Lonchura striata: one gene and its partner. The protein of the gene in region 2 interacts with the protein of the main gene of each other region in a biochemical or structural test. Links are inferred from orthologs where the notes say so. Each region holds a gene or a part of one and is shown on either strand. Other genes may lie near its edges. The genes, in order: NLK and MYB.

The links.
Region 1: of the proteins of MYB (region 2) and NLK, one has a biochemical effect on the other in vitro, tested with the Homo sapiens proteins (2 studies listed by BioGRID, with this or other methods). The link is inferred for Lonchura striata from reciprocal best matches to the Homo sapiens genes MYB and NLK.

Annotation. Positions count from the first base shown.
Region 1 is NC_134622.1:11,206,025-11,209,925, reverse strand, and holds the start of NLK (serine/threonine-protein kinase NLK), read right to left. Parts: upstream 2,626-3,901; 5' UTR 2,484-2,625; intron 2,253-2,483; exon of another isoform or gene 2,197-2,252; intron 1,808-2,196; 5' UTR 1,243-1,807; coding exon 785-1,242; intron 1-784. UniProt on the Homo sapiens protein: Serine/threonine-protein kinase that regulates a number of transcription factors with key roles in cell fate determination. Positive effector of the non-canonical Wnt signaling pathway, acting downstream of WNT5A, MAP3K7/TAK1 and HIPK2.
Region 2 is NC_134605.1:58,243,191-58,247,091, reverse strand, and holds the start of MYB (transcriptional activator Myb), read left to right. Parts: upstream 1-1,020; coding exon 1,021-1,043; intron 1,044-3,901. UniProt on the Homo sapiens protein: Transcriptional activator; DNA-binding protein that specifically recognize the sequence 5'-YAAC[GT]G-3'. Plays an important role in the control of proliferation and differentiation of hematopoietic progenitor cells.

The DNA of each region.
Region 1 (3,901 bases), on a different chromosome or scaffold from region 2:
TGCACTGCAACACGCCTGCTCTCCAGAACAGCCCCCTGCCAGCCTTCATGCTTCCCAGGCACAGCTCAGAACAGGGCACGCCAACAAACATTTATATACAAATGCACATATACTGCTGCCAGCTTTGTGTCAGTGCTCCTGAAGGGCACTAACTACATACATGGCTCTAAGGTAGTCATAAAATGCATTAGGAGAGATTCTACTCCGCTGACAGACTCCTCTGAAACGCGGCTGGGGGATAAAAGGGCCGGAGGCAGAGCTACAGCGAGGCAGGAAATCCCATTTCCATTTTTGAGAGGGGAGCAGAGTTCAGCTGTGCTGTTTGAGGTAGTACACAGCACTACCGCGGGTCAAACCGCCGTGAGACAAAGATCTTGACAGGTGACTGCACAAGGAAGACATTTTCATACGCTTTTCATTTCCGACTCTTAAGCCAGGTCAAAATGAATATTCCAGTGCTCATTTGTTAACCTGAAATTTTAGGAAGCACGGCTTAGCTGCACGGATGCACACTCTAATTAAAGGTACAGAAAGGGCATAAATAAGCTGTATTGTCTCAGAACGGCAGGGTGGCCTGTTAGTCAGAGGTGGCTCCTCACCACTGGGAACCTTGTTCTGCCAACGCAAACGAGCGAAGCAACTTTCTAAGAACGGAGAAGAACCAGCAAAAAAACTCTTAGTAAGCAGCTCTCTTGTATTCTGATTCCAATGACAAAAACAAGGATGAGTTATGATCAGGTAAAGAATGACAAGGAGGTATCGGTTCACTTTTGTCTCTACTCACCAGACAACACCAAAGGCTCCGTATCCGATGGGTCTGTCCGGCTCAATGTCCAGTTGCTGCTGTGGATGTTGTGAGTGCTGATGATGGTGCGCTTTGACTGCAGCAGCTGCTGCAGCCTGTACCTGAGCTGGGGCTGCTGCAGCCGGTCCGGGGGCCTGGCCCGGGGCCGGGGATGGGAAGTACGGCTGCTGCTGCCCTGGGTTCAACATCGCGGCGGCGGCGGCTGCGGCTGCGGCGGCCGCGGCGGCCGAGGAGGCATGCTGCTGCACGGGGTGCACCGCGGCCGCCGAGCCGGCGTGCAGGTGGTGCTGAGCATGGTGGTGGTGATGGAGGTGAGGAGGAGGGAGGTGAGGAAGGTGGTGGTGATGGTGGTGGTGGTGACCTGCTGCTGCCGCAGACGTACCGCCATTGTAAGCCGCCATCATTTTTGCGTTGGCTGTTGTGCCACAAAGAGACATTCAAAAAAATGCCCTTTGATTGGATAACAACTGGGTCAAGCTGTCATTTGGCCATAAAAATTAAATCTGCTACACTTTAAAAGAAGTTGGGTTTCATCATACACGGCCCACCTTTAAAAACATGGAGCTCCACTGGCCTTATCTCCTCGCGAAGCCAAACAACTCGGGGAGTCTCTTCATGTGTGCGGGCGCCAACCCCTTCCCCAGCATCCAGCTGGGCTTGGCTACTCCAACTCCATCCTTGGGCAGCTGGGTGGGGCCGGGGTGGGTTTTTTCCTTCACTTTTGGTTATTTTTGTTGTTTTTCTTGTTATAAAAATTAAACACCGTGATCAATCCCCCTTCCCTCCGGAGGGAGGGCTCGGAGCCTGTGCCCTGAACACCCCGCGAGGGCTGGCCAGCCTAGCCCTGCCATTCCCACACCCTCTCCATGTGTCCCCCGAACCTCCCTGCGCCCGGGCACCTCCTACATCGCTCCCTCCTTCCAGACACCTGCTCCCTCCTTCCAGGCACCTGCTCCCTCACAGCAGCAACAACTCGGGAGTTTGCAACTTTTCCTTGAAGGCCTGAAACACACACAAGGACCCAGAGAAAGTGAAGGGAGGGCGGCGCAGGGCGAGGAAAGGGGGGCAAGGGGGCTAAAAGAAGATAAAAACAGAAGGAGGAAGGGAAGGGCCGGGGCAGGACAGGGATCGCGGGGGGGAGGGGGGGGCGAAGGAGGGGGAAAAGTGGCGAATGAATGACGGGGCGGAGCGGGACCGGGGAGGGGGCGCGGGGCAGGTCGCAGCGGCCCCTGACAGCGCGACCCGCGGCGGGGCGGGGCCGGGCGGGCCGGGGGGCGTCGGGCCGGGGGTGGAGGGCAGGGGGCCCGCGGTGCGGGCGGCGGGAGGGTGTGGGGGCGGCCCCGGGTGCCCGCCCCGCGCGGCCCCGGCCGCGGCCCCGGCCCCGCTCTCACCTGGTCCCGCCGCCCCGCGCCGCGCCGCGGGCACGCGCTCCCCCCCCCCTGCGGGGCGCGCGCCCGACACCGCCCGCAGCCAATCGCGCCCGGCCCGCCGGGCTGCGCGAGAGCCGCCCCCGACCAATCGCCGCGCGGCGCCCGGCGCGCCCCGCCCACCGCGCGCGGCCGTGCGGAGCTCCCCCCCCCATCCTCTCCACGGCGCGGCCCCGCCCCCGTGACCCCGCCGGCCAATCAGCGCGCGCCGCCGCGCCCGGAGCCGCCGAGACCCCGCGAGATTCCCTCACCTCACACAACCCTCACCCCGGGCGGGCCCGCCTCCTTCACCCTCCTGCCACTCACGGCGGGCCGCCGGCCAATGGACGCTGCTCCTGAGCTCAGTGCCGCCCCCGGGAGCCGCTCTTCGCCCAATCGCAGCCGCCCGTCCAGTCCAATGAGCCAATGCAGAGAAACGAAAGCCCGAAAAGAGGTTACTGGGCCAATGGCACGGGGAGGCGGGCGGCGGCGCGACCGACAGCTCTCCTCGCCAGTGGCGGAGCCGGTGGGCGGCGGAGGAGCCGCCGCTCCGCAAATCACGGATGAGGAAGCGGCCGCTGCGCCCGCCCACGGGCGGCAGGCGCCCAATGGGCGGAGGGGATCTGCTGACGGACGGCGGGCGGGGCCAATCGCGGCCCGGGGCGGGGTGAGGTGAGGACGCGGCGCGCGCGGGGTCGCCGTGGGCGCTGAGGGGGCGGCGGAGCGCGAGCCGCGCTGAGGGCGGGCTGAGCGGCCGCGCCGGGTCCCGGTGCCCTTGTGCCCTCACACCGCCCGGTTCCGCTGCCCCCGCAGCTCCCTCTGTGCCCACCCTGCTCCCGCCCGGGTCACGGTGCCCTCGGGAATCGCCCGCTCCCTGCCGCCGGGGCCGGTCCCGCAGCACGGCGGGCCGACGGGGGCTGCCCGCCAAGGGCAGGGGATCTGTGGGGTTTTGGGGCCTGTTTTTCGAGTCTCTGAGGACCGGAGAGCGGCGACTGCGGGGCTGGCAGCGGGGCCCCTGGGCTGTGGCACCATGTCCCGCCGTGCGTGGGCTCCCCTTGGCAGGAAAGAGAAATAAACCGCTAATGAGAGGGTGTAGTGCTCCCAGCAGCGTGGCCCATTGCCCGAGGCAGTCTCTGCGAGGCTCCTTTCAGCGTGCTCAGAACACGCTCAGGGGACACTGCCAGGTACGTGTTAACCAGGACCGAAATATCCTTTGGTTGTTGTTTTAGCTCCCTCACGCTATGAATCTGCATGCCTGGGGACTGCAGTGTCTTTGGGTAAGGCATCAGTGTTCCCTGAAACACAGGGGTGGGTAAAAAAAAGTTTTAACACCTTCCATTTTCTCATGCGAATATTAATCATATCTGATTAATAGTTTTACTTCAGAAAAACTCTCCCAGGTTACTGGAGCCTTTCCCATGGTGGTAGAGTTAAATTACCGTGAGGGTGATGAAGAGGTTCTTTCAGGTAACTGAACTGAGCATTTCGGAGGCAGTCCGTGACTGACAGGGGATGTGTTCGCTGTGCTGGGAGGGAGCTGAGCCTCTCCTTCGCTGCCCCTGGCTCCTGTCTGGGCAGGAAAAGAGCTCAGCAGAGCTGTGACAGGACAGCTGCAGTGCTGAGGTGTTACCAGAAGATCCCTGAAGGTGCAGTCCTGTCATCTGTCCTTTCTGTTTGTTTCTGAAGACTG
Region 2 (3,901 bases):
GGCTCGGGAGCGGCCCCGCCCCGGCCCGGCCCGCCCCGTCGGCTGCTCATTGATGAGCCGCGGGCCTTTGAGGAAAGGGCGAGTGTGCCGAAACCGCTGCAAAGCCATGATTTTTCAAGCAGCAGCGCAGCCTGGGAACTTTGCATGTTTCACCATTTTTCACGTCCTGACTCATTTCTGTATCAAAAAATGTGTTCTCTGGAGCTCATCGGACACCCACCGCCCCTCCCGCCGCCGCGGCGGCAGGCAGCATCCACGCCGGGCGGCAGCAAGGGGAACTATAGCAGAAATCCCCTGCGGGCAGGCAACCGCAGTCCAGCCCCGGGCCCCTCCGAGTTCCCTTATTGCCAGCGGGGGTTGCTTGCCCCCGAGGGCTGCAGCCGCTGCAGCCCGCACCACGCAGGGAGCGGAGCAGGTGCACCCGCCGAGGCCCACCCTCCCCCCGTCGGCGGGAGGCACCTGCGTGGGCCGGGGGTCGGTCGCGGGGTCTCGCCCGAGAGTTCTCGCCCCACGCCGAGCCTCACCTTCCCCACCCGCCGTGCACGGCGGAGAGGGGCTGCCCCCCGCCCCGACAGCTCCATCGGCGACAGCCGCAGGGCACGGGGGGGCCGCGGCCGCGCCGTCGAGGGCCCGCGGCGCGGGAGCGGCGGCGGCGCTGGCGCGGGTGGCTCCCGCCGCTGCCGCGCGGGATGGGCGGGGCGGGAGGGCCCCGCGGGGCGCGCGGCGCCGGTGCGCCCGCCCCGCGCCCCGCCACAGCGGCACGGGCCCGCCAGGCGCCTGCGCACTGCAGGGGCGCCAGATTTGGCGGGAGGGGGAGTGTCCAAGGGCCCTTTGTTTGATGGCATCTCTGTTTACAGAGTTTACTCTTTAATCTCAACCTGTTTCCTCCTCCTCCTCCCGCGGCTCCTCGGCACTCCCGTGCGCGGCGGCGGAGCGCCCAGGCGCAGCCCGGCAGCAGGGCGCGGCGGCGGGCGCGGGCTCGGTCTCCCCCGTCCTCCTCCCCCAGCGGCCGGTGCGAGGATGTCCCGGAGACCCCGGCACAGGTAACCCGCTGTCTGCGGGCGGCGGACGGCCGGCTGCGCTCCGCGCCTGTCAGACGGGGCGCGGGACGGGAGAGAGAGAAAGCGGCAGCAGGCAACCGGCTCGCCCGGCGGACGGGCGGGCAGTCCCCCGTTCTCCGTGCACCTGGTCTACTCCGCCCCCGGAGCCGAGGCGCTCCCCTCCTCCGGAGGCGCCGGGAGAGCTGCAGCCCGGCGGGACGCGCCGCGGAGCCCCGGTGCCGGGGCGCTCGGGCCCCGCGCTGCACGCCTGCCGGGGGCCAGTGCTCGCCGCCCGCAGGAGCCAGCGCGGAGCCCGACGGAGCTGCGCGCTCCGCAGCCGCGAGGCGGGACAATGTCTGGCGGGCTCGGCGGCGGCAGGTAGCGCGTCCTTGTCCCATTCATTCATTCATTCCCGGCCGGCTGAGGCGACAGGTGGGCAGCGGGTGCGGGGACTGGGTTCGCTCCCTCGACTTTTTGTTTCCTTTATTCGTGCGGCCCTTTCGCCCTTGGAAGCGCGACTCTGGCCTGAGTGGCTTAGCTTTTCCCAGGTACACGCCACTTGGCACACGCAGGAGCGCGGCAGCGCGGGCGGGGGGCTGCGAGTCCGACGGAGCTCTCGGCCGCAGCTGTCACCCGTGGCCGCCAGCGTGCCGCGCACCCGGGCCAAGGCGATCCCTGCCACGCCGTGCAGGGGCCGGGGGCGGCGGTGTCCCGGGGGCGGCGGTGCCCCTGGGGCAGTGGTGCCCCGGAGACGGTGGACTGGACCGGACAGGGCGATAGCGCCGCGTGGCCGCGTCCGTGGCCCCGCTGCCGCGCGGGCGCACAGAGCGGAGTTGTTGTCTAATTAGCCAGGGACGGCGGGTCGGACACGTGGAGGCTTTTTTCTCTTTGCAGCCTGGCATCCTCCCCTCCTCCCCTCCCCTTTGGCTGGCTGTGACAGGGGAAGAGGTCGCAGCCCTGCCTGTCGCTTCCCGGGCGCCGGTCCTGTCCGGTGGGACTGGGGGCTTGGTGGGTTCTTTCTAAGGAAGAGGGGTTTGCGGTGCGGAAGGAGGCGGCGAGCCGCTGGGCGAGCGCCGGGCTGTACTTTCAGTGTCAGAGCGGGGCTGTCGCTTGAGCTGGCGGTGAATCACCCGGCCCGTTTCTCCCGAAAGAGAGGGACAGCTACCGCTGTCTCGTGGGCGCCTCCCGCAGGGACACGTCCGCCGCTCGGGACTGGGAGGCCGGGGCGGCACGGCGCGGTGTCCGCCTGATCCGGCGGGCGCGGCGCCGGCGGGCGCGGGCTCTGCCCCGCGGGGCTGGTGCCCGAATTCCTTCAATCACGGTAACAGCAGCGAGTCATTTCCTCTACACCTCCTTTTTTTTTTTTTTTTTTTTTTTTTTAACCTCTCCCTTTTTTTTTTTTTTTTGCTTTTTTCCCCGTGTATCGTTGCACAAGCCGGTTGCCTCGGCGAACAGCGCGGCGCTGATGGGGGGCCGGGGGACTCCCGCTGTCCCGGCCGGGCGGAGCGCCGTGCCGTGCCGTTCCGAGCCGCTTGGGGGGAGGCTTCAGGGCTGCAGCCGGAGGTGCAAAATAAAGTTTTAGAGCACCGCTGAAGGCCAAGTTGACTGAAAAAACAGCCGAGAGTCCCGGAATCCCCGGACACTTTTCTCCTGCTGGAGAGCGCAGGCAGTACAGTGGAGTTTGCTCAGTTCTGCGGTGCCAGCGAGGCCCCAGTCGTTTAAATAACCCTGTTACAGAACTGGCCCCACACTGAAGTCCTTAAACGTGTTGGCCGCTGATGCTGTGCTGCTGCTGCTGCAGAGCGGGGTTTCCCTGCGGCGCCCGGCCCGCACCGCCGCGCAGGAAGCGCCGCGGATGGATGCGGTCCTGCCGGTTGCCTTCTACGGAAAACTCATTTTCAAACTGCTACTTGGAAACTGTGCCACAAAAACTTCCTTTGCCATATGGGCAGCGGCGCAGCTGTCTGTGTGTGTCACTGAGAAAAGTGAATCTGCTTTGAGCGGCGGCTGGGGACCGGAGCCGCGCTGGTGGCAGCTGGAGCGTGGGAGCTTTTGCTCAAGCACGGGAGGCTCCAGCTGCCAACGAGGGGTGCGTGTGAAGTGGGAGCTTCCATCGGGGCTTACTCCCAGAGGTTCCGGGGTCTGGGAAATAGGGAGCGAATCGTGGGGCTGCAGGACTGCGGCGCGATGGGCACGAGTTGAGGGTAGTGGCGATGGGCTGGTTGGGTGAGTCAGGGGCACCCGGCAGAGGCTGCAGGATGACCACACACATCACAGCAGGCTGTGGAAAACTTTTTACATGTAGCATGTAAGCATGTTCTTTCATTACACAGGCCAGAAAACTGTGTGGAAGATGTAGGGTGTGATTAGTCCAGTACTTTAAAGAATTATGTTCAGTAGCTTGCCTTTTGGAGGTGTTCACATCTTGACAGTCATGGTGCTTCACTGCAACTTAATTGAAAGTCATCTCCTGAAAACAGGTTAACAGCATAAACAGTGCCTGTTAACTTTATTACAAAATAACTTTATTTTAATGTCTTAGTCATACTTTTAACTACCATACCATACCATACCATACCATACCATACCATACCATACCATACCATACCATCAGATATATCACAGTTTTTAATCTTAATGACACTGACTCCTTTCTAACACTCATGGCTAGCATCTTTTAGCTGAAGTATCAGAACTGCTGCTCATACCTTAAAAGTTAGAGGTAAAATACTGTCCACCAGAAAGGTACATCTTGTTGCAAAACACTCTCTTTTAGATTTAGTCAGCTAGGTAGAGCAAGTGCTGTTTGTGAAGAGTCATGGAGTCCTTTTTACCCATAGATAGCCTCTGGGGAAATCCCT